Macaca fascicularis: one gene and its partner. The main gene of each other region encodes a partner of the protein of the gene in region 2 in a complex. Links are inferred from orthologs where the notes say so. Each region holds a gene or a part of one and is shown on either strand. Other genes may lie near its edges.

Region 1 (5,202 bases), on a different chromosome or scaffold from region 2:
AAGATACATATACTAAACTAGAACTGACACCCCCTCCCAAATGAATTACTGTATGTCCCATATTCTGTTTCAACATGGTATGTTCATATACTTATTCAACAATAAAATAAAAAAGTTCAATCTGTATCATCTTCGAGCTCTTAAGTTAAAGCAAATTTTGATTTAAAAAAAAAAAAATGTTTAACAAAACTGTGATTTGGGTGCGAGGGAGATCAAAGATACCTACCTCTTGTCTATACTGAATACCACAAGTACCCTTTTGGCCATGTCGACTAGCAAATTTGTCTCCAATCTGTGGAATCCTAACAGAGCGTACCTAAATTCATATAAAAATAAGTTAAGTGGATCTGGTTTACTTTCTAAGACTAGCTACATGAACAAAGTTCATACAAAGTTCAATACTCACCCTTATTTTACAAAATTTATATCCTTCCTGGTTGAGAGTTACCATAACCTGATCCACAATGCCTGTCTCGCTAGTTCTGAGAAAAGTGCTACAGTCTCTCTTGGTATAGCGTCTATTAGTGCTCTCCAATTCATCTTCATTTTCAGGCAAGGTGACTGTTTTGCCTATAATAACATCATCTCCTGATACACGAACCCCTGGAGCTATCAAACCATCATCATCCAGTTTGTCATAAATGGCATGCCTCATGCCTGTGAGGAAATAGACATGGAATGTCACATAATCCCCAACAAAGATTAAAAACCACACACATGAATCAGTTCCAAGTCAGAGAGAAGGCCACAGGAATTTCTATACCATGAATCATACCCTTATTCCAAATATTACAAACTATTCTGAATTCTGTAATACCACAGTCCACACAGGAAAAAAAGGAAAAAAAAAAAGTCTATGAAGAAAAAGAACATTGGAATCAGCATTGGGAAAGCAGATTCTTCCATGACAGACATTTATCAAGTGACTCTGGATATGTTTTTTGCAATCTTCTGATTTCTATATTATAAGAGAAAGAATATCTCTGCTATCAGTGGGTACAGGAGAAAAAATTTTTTAATTAAAAAGAGAATATCTATGGATTCCCTCTGCACACATCCTCCCACAGAAATTGTGGATTTCATCTTAACTCAATCTTAACTCTAATGGACATCAATTCACTACTACACAGAACCACCCAATGGAAGGTGAGTAACAGGAAGATGGCAAAGGAAACAAAATACATTTTACTTCATGCAATGCTATTCACAGTCAAAACTGTAGCAGAAATGTTGCATTTTCCTGGAACAACCCAACCATCCCACTGCATAAGCAGTTTTTAAGTGTCTGTCAAAATAAATAACTAGAAAGTAAGTTTGAGTTTTCTACAAGAAACAACAAATGCTAGGTATCCTCTTTTCACTGGTTATTTTTTAAATGTTTACAAATAATGTGGCTGAACAAATATTATGATCACACCATAATTTGGAAAGGAAGAGGGGACAGGCGTGAAGTGTGTCCCCAGAAATTACATGACCTCTCTGATTTCCTAAACTGCCTCCTCAATGCAGGACCTACCAGGAAGGAAGGTCTGTAGCAAGCTCACTCGTAGGTGCAAAGACTTTTATGAAATACACATATTTTCTTAGATGTGAACTCTAAGAATAACATGAAAACACAGTTTCATTGCACAAAAAAAAGGGGAGGGGGATGGGGGCAGGCGCAGGCTGACACAACCCATCAAAATCACTTAGGAAAACCACAGTAAGTTAACTTTGGATTCCATCATTTAAATGTTAGCGTCACTTACCCTGGCATGTTTCACGTGTAGGCTTCTCAAAAACTTCTTCTTGATCAAATCCTTTTTTAGACTCCTGTTCTTTGTATGAGCGATAGAAAACAGACCTAAAACCACATGGTTCTAAAGGTAAAGTCTATTTTTTAACAAAAGGGCTGAGACTATACCAACAATTTCTCATTTACTTGAAATTCGGGAGACAATTTAAACTATGAATCTGGGACAAGAATAACTGCATTAAGGGTCGGAGTTAAACTCCAAATGTTATCACAAGTCATACATATGTAGCATCTGACCCATAACCTTAACCACCTAGAATTATATGTCAAAATAGAAAAGACCCAGGGTCAATGAGTCCAACCTCCTACACAATTTAAGAATCCATTACAAAATAACCCTGAAAGATGGTCACCTAGGTTCTACTCAAACACTTCCAGTGAGAAGTTTTTACATTGGCCGAGCATGGTGGCTCACGCCTGTAATCCTAGCACTTTGGGAGGCCAAGGTGGGTGGATCATCTGAAGTCAGGAGTTCGAGACCAGCCTGGCCAACATGGTCTGTGCTAAAAATACCAAAAAAAAAAAAAAGCTGGGTGTGGTGGTGCAAGCCTGTAATCCCAGGTACCTGGGAAAATGAGGCAGGAGAATCTCTTGAAACCTGGGAGGCGGAGATTGCAGTGAGCCAAGATTGCACCACTGCATTCCAGCCTTGGCAACAGCGAGTTCTGTCTCAAAAAAAAAAGAAGTTTTTACATTAAGCCATAATATGTATCCTCTGAGTTCTAGTGCTATCCTTTGAAACTACACAGAAAAAGGAAAATCCATTCCCCTCTACTAAATTCCCAGTTTTTAAAACAATCTTTATATGCCTTGAATTTGAGGTCTATTTGTCAATAGGACAATCAAGCTGAAGCATAATGGAAAAAAAGAGTGAAAAGAAAACACACCATAATTTTAACAGTAGTTATCTATGGATTCTAAGTTATTTTTATTTCTTCTTTAGACATTTCTATATTATCTAAATGTAAATGTATATTTCCTTACCAAAAGAAAGGCTCAAAATACTAGCATTTGAAATTCCTAAGAGATATAAGAAGTAGTATCTTCAGTTGTTTGTGACCATCAGCCAGGCCTTCTGCTTGCTGGAGTAGTGCGTAGCTAAACTATATTTTAAGAACTTTTTCTGAATAAAATATTAGTGTTTCCACTGTATCTGTGTTGTGACAAATTTACAAAATACAAACCTGAAGAAGCCACGGTCTACAGCTGAACGATTCATGATAACAGAGTCTTCCTGATTATATCCAGTGTATGATGCAATGGCCACAATTGAGTTGATGCCTGCAGTGAATTTAAAAAGCACATATTAAAAAAAAAAAAAAAAAAAGCATACATTAAAACATCACCCGGAAAACAGGAAAACTGCCCTTTCTTTAAATCAACTTTAATTAAATCATATTTGCCATAAATGCTTGGGTGTTTGTTGTCACGGTAACTGCCAAAGTCTATTCCTCCTAGAATAGCAATCTGTGAGGCAACTACTCTGATGGCTAAATATCTCACACAAGCAAATCCTAAGACTAGTCACTCCCAATGTATCCATTCTCATAATAAGTGATTATACATGTGAGTCACCTCCTACTTAGAAAGTGCCTCCCCAAACCAAGTTTCATGATCCTCACAGCAACTCTGTGCCATAAACAAAATAAGCATTATTATTCTCATGAATCAGAAGAGTGAATTAACAATCTACCCATGATCTCAAAATTAATAAGCAATAGGCTCAAGCCCTAGCTCCTTGTCTCCCGATTTCTGGTTTTAGGTTTGAAACTGGTACTACCCTATTTCCCTCTCCTTGTACCACCAAAAAATTATCATATCTTTCCTGCCACAATGAAATTCTTACTTGCTGCTGCCAAAACACTGTTTGATGAGCCCATAAAATAACTGGATATTCAACTCTCGCCTGTAATCCCAGCACTTTGGGAGGCCAAGGCAGGTGGATCACAAGGTCAAGAGATCAAGACCATCCTGGCCAACATGGTGAAACCCCATCTCAACTAAAAATACAGAAATTAGCTGGGCGTGGTGGCATGTGCCTGTAGTCCCAGCTACTCGGGAGGCTCACACAGGAGAATCCCTTAAACCCGGGAGGTGGAGGATGCAGTGAGCTGAGATCACACCACTGTACTCCAGCCTGGTAGCAGAGTGAGAATCTGTCTCGAAAATAAAATAAATAACATAACATAACATAACATAACATAACATAACATAACATATAAAATAACTTGATATTCTTAACCTGGATATCATCATGAGGAAAGAATAGTCAAACCTAAATTGAGACACAATGCAAAATAACTTTCCTGAACTCTTCACAAATGTCAAGGTCATGAAAGACAAGGAAAGACTAAGAAACTGTTCTAGATTAAGGAAACTAAAGAAACATGTAATTAAATGCAATCCACAATCCTAGATTAGCTCCTAGACCCACTAAAGACATCGTTAGGTTTGAATACAATAAAAACTGCTTTCTTTAAAAAAAAAAAAAAAAAAACATCATTAGGACAACTGGCAAAATTTGAATTGAGGACTGCTGACTATATGGATAGCAATGTTATCCTGATTTGATGGCTGCACTACAGAGAATGTCCTTGTCCTTAGGAAACACATACTGAAGAAGGAAACACATGCTTCACGCCTGCAACTTACTCTCATGTGGTTCAGGAGAAGTAATAAAAAGGGAGAGAATAATAGAGCAAATGTGGTAAAATGTCAAAAGTTTTTTTAAAGATGGTATGATGGATCGGCTGTAGTGGCTTACATCTGTAATCCTGGCACTTTGGGATGCTGAGGTGGGAAAATCACTTGAGCCCAGAAGTTTGAGACCAGCCTGGGCAACAAAGCAGACCCTATCTCTACAAAAAAAAAGAACTTCAAAATAAAGATGCCATGATGAAGTCAGGAATAACAGAACTGCAGTCCTGCCAGCCATGACTCTCCACTTACGCCAGTACCAAAGGAACATTTGCTTTCCAACCTAGTCCTTCAGTATATGTATTTTCTTCTCTAGCCATAAAGAAACTCTATTATCTAAATGTTGGAGAAAACACAGCACTGCAAGCACAGCCCAAAGATACGTGCATACTGTGTAGACAACCTAACAGATTTTGCTTTTCTAGACAAGAGGAACCCCTTGTGGAGGATTTTGAAAGTAAGTAATTTTAACCTATGAGAATTTCCTATCAAAATGTTAGAGCCCCATTACAGTACACTAAAGATGAACTTTACTAACAAATAACAAATGTTACTCACATTCAAAGCCAAAAGTCTGTTAATACAAAAGATAACAACAGTGCCAAAGAACTCTACCATCTCCTTTAATAGTCAACACTCATACCCTTCAGATTTCTCTTCGCCATTTTACCTACCATCCAGTCTCCCTGAGATTCCCCTCCTTACCAGCT
Region 2 (4,112 bases):
TGAGTCACGGTGCCCGGCCAGAATGCCATCTCTTGATCAGATGTTAAATCTACTTAGCTAAGAACTGTTCAGGCTGGGCACGTGGAGAGTGGATCACAAGGCCAGGAGTTCAAGACCATCCTGGCCAAGAGACCAGCCTGGCCAATTTGGTGAAACCCCATCTCTACTAAAAATACAGAAATTAGCCGGGCATGGTGGCGGGCACCTGTAATCTCAGCTACTGGGGAGGCTGAGGCAGGAGAATGACTTGAACCCGGGAGGCAGAGGTTGCAGTGAGCCGAGATCACACCACTGCACTCCAGCATGGGTGACAGATCAAGACTCCGACTCAAAAAAAAAAACAAGAAAAAAATTAAAAATGGTGATGGGGTCTTGCTATGTTGCTCAGGCTGGTCTCAAACTCCTGGGTTCAAGCGAGTATCCAGCCTCGGCCTCCCCTCCCAAAGTGCTGGGATGACAGGCTTAAGCCACTGCATCCAACTGTCACTTTTTTGGTGCACCGCTCAGTGGGGTAAAGCCGCTCACAGTGTTATGCAGCAGTTTCATTATCTTTCACACCAGCCTGGGCTTTGCCCGTGTTACATGTATTCCTAACACTTCTCATTACATGCAGTCTTTTTTGTTTGTTTGTTTTTTGGAGACAGAGTCTTACTCTGTCACCCAGGCTGGAGTGCAGTGGTACAATCTTAGCTCACTGCAACCTCCACCTCCCAGCTTCAAGCAATTCTCCTGCCTCAGCCTCCCAAGTAGCCGGGACTACAGGCACCCACCACCACGCCTGGCTTATTTTTGTAGTTTTCGTAGGGGCGAGGTTTCACCATGTTGTTCAGGCTGGTCTCAAACTCCTGACCTCAGGTGATCCACCTGCCTCGGCCTCCCAAATTTCTGCGATTATAGGCGTGAGCCACTGCACCAAGCCCGGCCTGCAGTCCTGTTTTTCGAAGCTTCCATGAGCAATGAGACAACGTTACATTGTTCCAGTGGAAACAGTAGGTTTTGTCATTAAAGAAAAAGACATCTATAAATTAAGATAACAAGAGATCTGGCCAGGTGCAGTGGCTCATGCCTATAATCCCAGCACTTTGGGAGGCCGAGGCAGGTGGATCACCTGAGGTCAGGAGTTTGAGACCAGCCTGAACAACATGGTGAAACCTCGTCCTTATGAAAACTACAAAAATTAGCTGGGCGTGGTGGTGTGTGCCTGTAGTCCCGGCTACTCAGGAGGCTGAGGCAGGAGAATGGTGTGAACCTGGGAGGCGGAGGTTGCAGTGAGCCAAGATTGCACCATTGCACTCCAGCCTGGGCGACAGAGCGAGAGTCTGTCTCAAAAAAAAAAAAAAAAAAAAAAATAGCAAGAAACCAGTGTGACTGCATTGGGGCCAGACTCTGAGTCCAAGGGAGGTGCTGAGACTCCAGCAGCACGTGGGGACCCTGTCTTTGAGGGACTCGGGGCGGAAAGGGAAGGTAGGAAGGGCCGGTTCTATCCGTGTGGTTTCAGGGAGTCCTGGGCCACAGCCCAAGTCCCCGGGGTCCACATCACATTGAAGGCTGTGTGGGTGGTGCCCGAGGGCTCGCCCCCTGCAAGCGCAGGGGCAGGGTGGTGCCAGGCCCAGCATGAGCCACCCTGTGCCTGGCCCCCAGGAGGAACAAGGTGCTGAACCACTTCAGCATCATGCAGCAGCGGCGGCTCAAGGATCAGGACCAGGATGAGGACGAGGAGGAGAAGGAGAAACGCGGCCGCAGGAAGGCAAGCGAGCTACGCATCCACGACCTGGAGGATGACCTGGAGATGTCGTCTGATGCCAGTGACGCCAGCGGTGAGGAGGGTGAGCACGGGGGCCCGGGCATTAGGCTACAGAGGTACCTGCTCAGGCGGTGCCAGTGAAGGCACAGTCTACCGTCGCTCACAGTGGCCCTAGAATTCGAGGCACCTGGGGCCAGGTGCGGTGGCTCACGCCTGTCGTCCAGCACTTTGAGAGGCTGAGGCAGGCAGATCACCTGAGATCAGGAGTTCGAGACCAGCCTGGCCAACACAGTGAGACCCTGTCTCTACTGAAAACACAAAAATCAGCTGGGCATGGTGGTGCATGCCTCTAGTTCCAGCTACTCGGGAGGCTGATGCAGGAGAATCGCTTGAACCTGGGAGATGGAGGTTGTAGTGAGCCGAGATCACGCCACTGCACTCCAGGCTGGGCGACAGAGAGGGACTCCGTCTCAGAAAAAAAAAAATGAGAGTCAGGCGAGGCTGCCTGGAGGAGCAGTGATATCAGTCAAGAGGCAAAGCCAGAGCCCGGGAGAACTGAGCTGTGGCCCTTCTTTCTTTTTTTTTCTTGAGACAGGATCTCTCTCTCTCACCAGGGCTGGAGTGCAGTGGTACAATCACAGCTCACTGCAGCCTTGACCTCCCAGGGTCAAGCAATCCTCCCACCTCAGCCTCCTGAGTAGCTACAGGACTACAGGCATGCACCACCATGCCCGGCTAATTTTTGTTTTTTTCTTTTGGAGACAGAGTCTTGCCCTGTTGCCCAGGCTGGAACTCAGTGGTGCGATCTCAGCTCACTGCAACCTCTGCCTCCCAGGTTCAAGTGATTCTCCTGCCTCAGCCTCCCAAGTAGCTGGGATTACAGGCATGCGCCACCACGCCTGGCTAATTTTTGTGTTTTTAGCAGAGACGGGGTTTCACCATGTTGGCCAGGCTGGTCTTAAACTCCCGAGCTCAGGTAATCTGCCTGTCTTGGCCTCCCAAAGTGCTGCGATTACAGGTGTGAGCCACAGCACCTGGCCTAATTTTTGTATTTTTTGTAGATACTGGGGTCTCACTCACTATGTTGCCTAGGATGGTCTGAAAACTCCTGGGCTCAAGCCATCCTCCCGCCTCAGCCTGCCAAAGTGCTGGGATGACAGGCATGAGCCACCGCGCCTGGCCTGGCTGAGGTCTTTACGGGGGTTCCTATGAGAAACTGCAACTCTGGGTTGGCCAGTTTCAATAATTCCTGTGCGCTCTGGGCTGTAGGGGCTGTCCCTGGTTATCAGGTGCCTCGCCTGGGGTGGTCTGGGAGTGGGGAGTGGTCTGTGAGCGTTAGAGAACGTGGGTTGGGGTGTGGGGTCTGGACCAGGAGTTTGTTTAGGAGAGCTGAGCTCCTGGGCTGGCCTTGGTGGGGCAGTCTCCCCAGTCAGTGAGGCCCCCAGGATGTCAAAACTGCACAAAATACCCACTGCCTCCCCCTCCTTTTCCTTCCTTTCCTCCCTTCCCAGGCGGCAGAGCCCCCAAGGCCAAGAAGAAGGTGCCGCTGGCCAAGGGTGGCAGGAAGAAGAAGAAGAAGAAGGGCTCTGACGACGAGGCCTTCGAGGACAGCGACGATGGGGACTTCGAGGGCCAGGAGGTGGACTACATGTCGGATGGCTCCAGGTGAGGCCGACGCGAGGCGGCTGCGAGACCCCGTGCGGCCTTGCGGGCGCGCACTCACCCTCTGCCGCCCCTGTCTCACAGCAGCTCCCAGGACGAGCCTGAGAGCAAGGCCAAGCCGCCCCAGCAGGAGGAGGGGCCCAAGGGTAGGCGGCGGCTGGGCGGGCCCCGGGGAGATGCGGGGGGAGATGCGGGCAGTGCGTCTCTGCTCTTGCTCATACCCTGTCCCCCCAGGTGTTGATGAGCAGAGTGACAGTAGCGAGGAGAGTGAGGAGGAGAAGCCACCCGAGGAGGACAAGGAGGAGGAGGAGGAGAAGAAGGCGCCCACCCCGCAGGAGAAGAAGCGCAGGAAAGGTGCGGCCGGTGTGGCCCATGTTGGAGGCTCGGGTCAGGGCCTGGTGCTCTGCTGCCTCCTCCCCTCTCCCCTGCAGGCCTCCCTCATCTGCAGTGGAGGTACCGGTGGATGCCGGGTCCCAGGGTTGCTCTGGCCCTGACCCCTTTCCTGTGCCCCGCAGACAGCAGCGAGGAGTCGGACAGCTCAGAGGAGAGCGACATTGACAGCGAGGCCTCCTCGGCCCTCTTCATGGCGGTAAGGCCCAGCCCGGTGACAGGGGAGGCCTGGGCGTCTGTTTCCAGACTCACACCCCTCACCCCACCCTGACCTCCGCAGAAGAAGAAGACGCCACCCAAGAGAGAGCGGAAGCCG

The links.
Region 1: GTF2F1 (region 2) and POLR2B share a complex: the UniProt entries of both Homo sapiens proteins name them as parts of the TBP-based Pol II pre-initiation complex. The link is inferred for Macaca fascicularis from reciprocal best matches to the Homo sapiens genes GTF2F1 and POLR2B.

Annotation. Positions count from the first base shown.
Region 1 is NC_088379.1:76,855,152-76,860,353, forward strand, and holds part of POLR2B (DNA-directed RNA polymerase II subunit RPB2), read right to left. Parts: intron 3,077-5,202; coding exon 2,980-3,076; intron 1,844-2,979; coding exon 1,749-1,843; intron 658-1,748; coding exon 407-657; intron 317-406; coding exon 227-316; intron 1-226. UniProt on the Homo sapiens protein: Catalytic core component of RNA polymerase II (Pol II), a DNA-dependent RNA polymerase which synthesizes mRNA precursors and many functional non-coding RNAs using the four ribonucleoside triphosphates as substrates.
Region 2 is NC_088393.1:7,160,694-7,164,805, reverse strand, and holds part of GTF2F1 (general transcription factor IIF subunit 1), read left to right. Parts: intron 1-1,641; coding exon 1,642-1,826; intron 1,827-3,255; coding exon 3,256-3,409; intron 3,410-3,490; coding exon 3,491-3,552; intron 3,553-3,640; coding exon 3,641-3,760; intron 3,761-3,921; coding exon 3,922-3,995; intron 3,996-4,076; coding exon 4,077-4,112. UniProt on the Homo sapiens protein: TFIIF is a general transcription initiation factor that binds to RNA polymerase II and helps to recruit it to the initiation complex in collaboration with TFIIB. It promotes transcription elongation.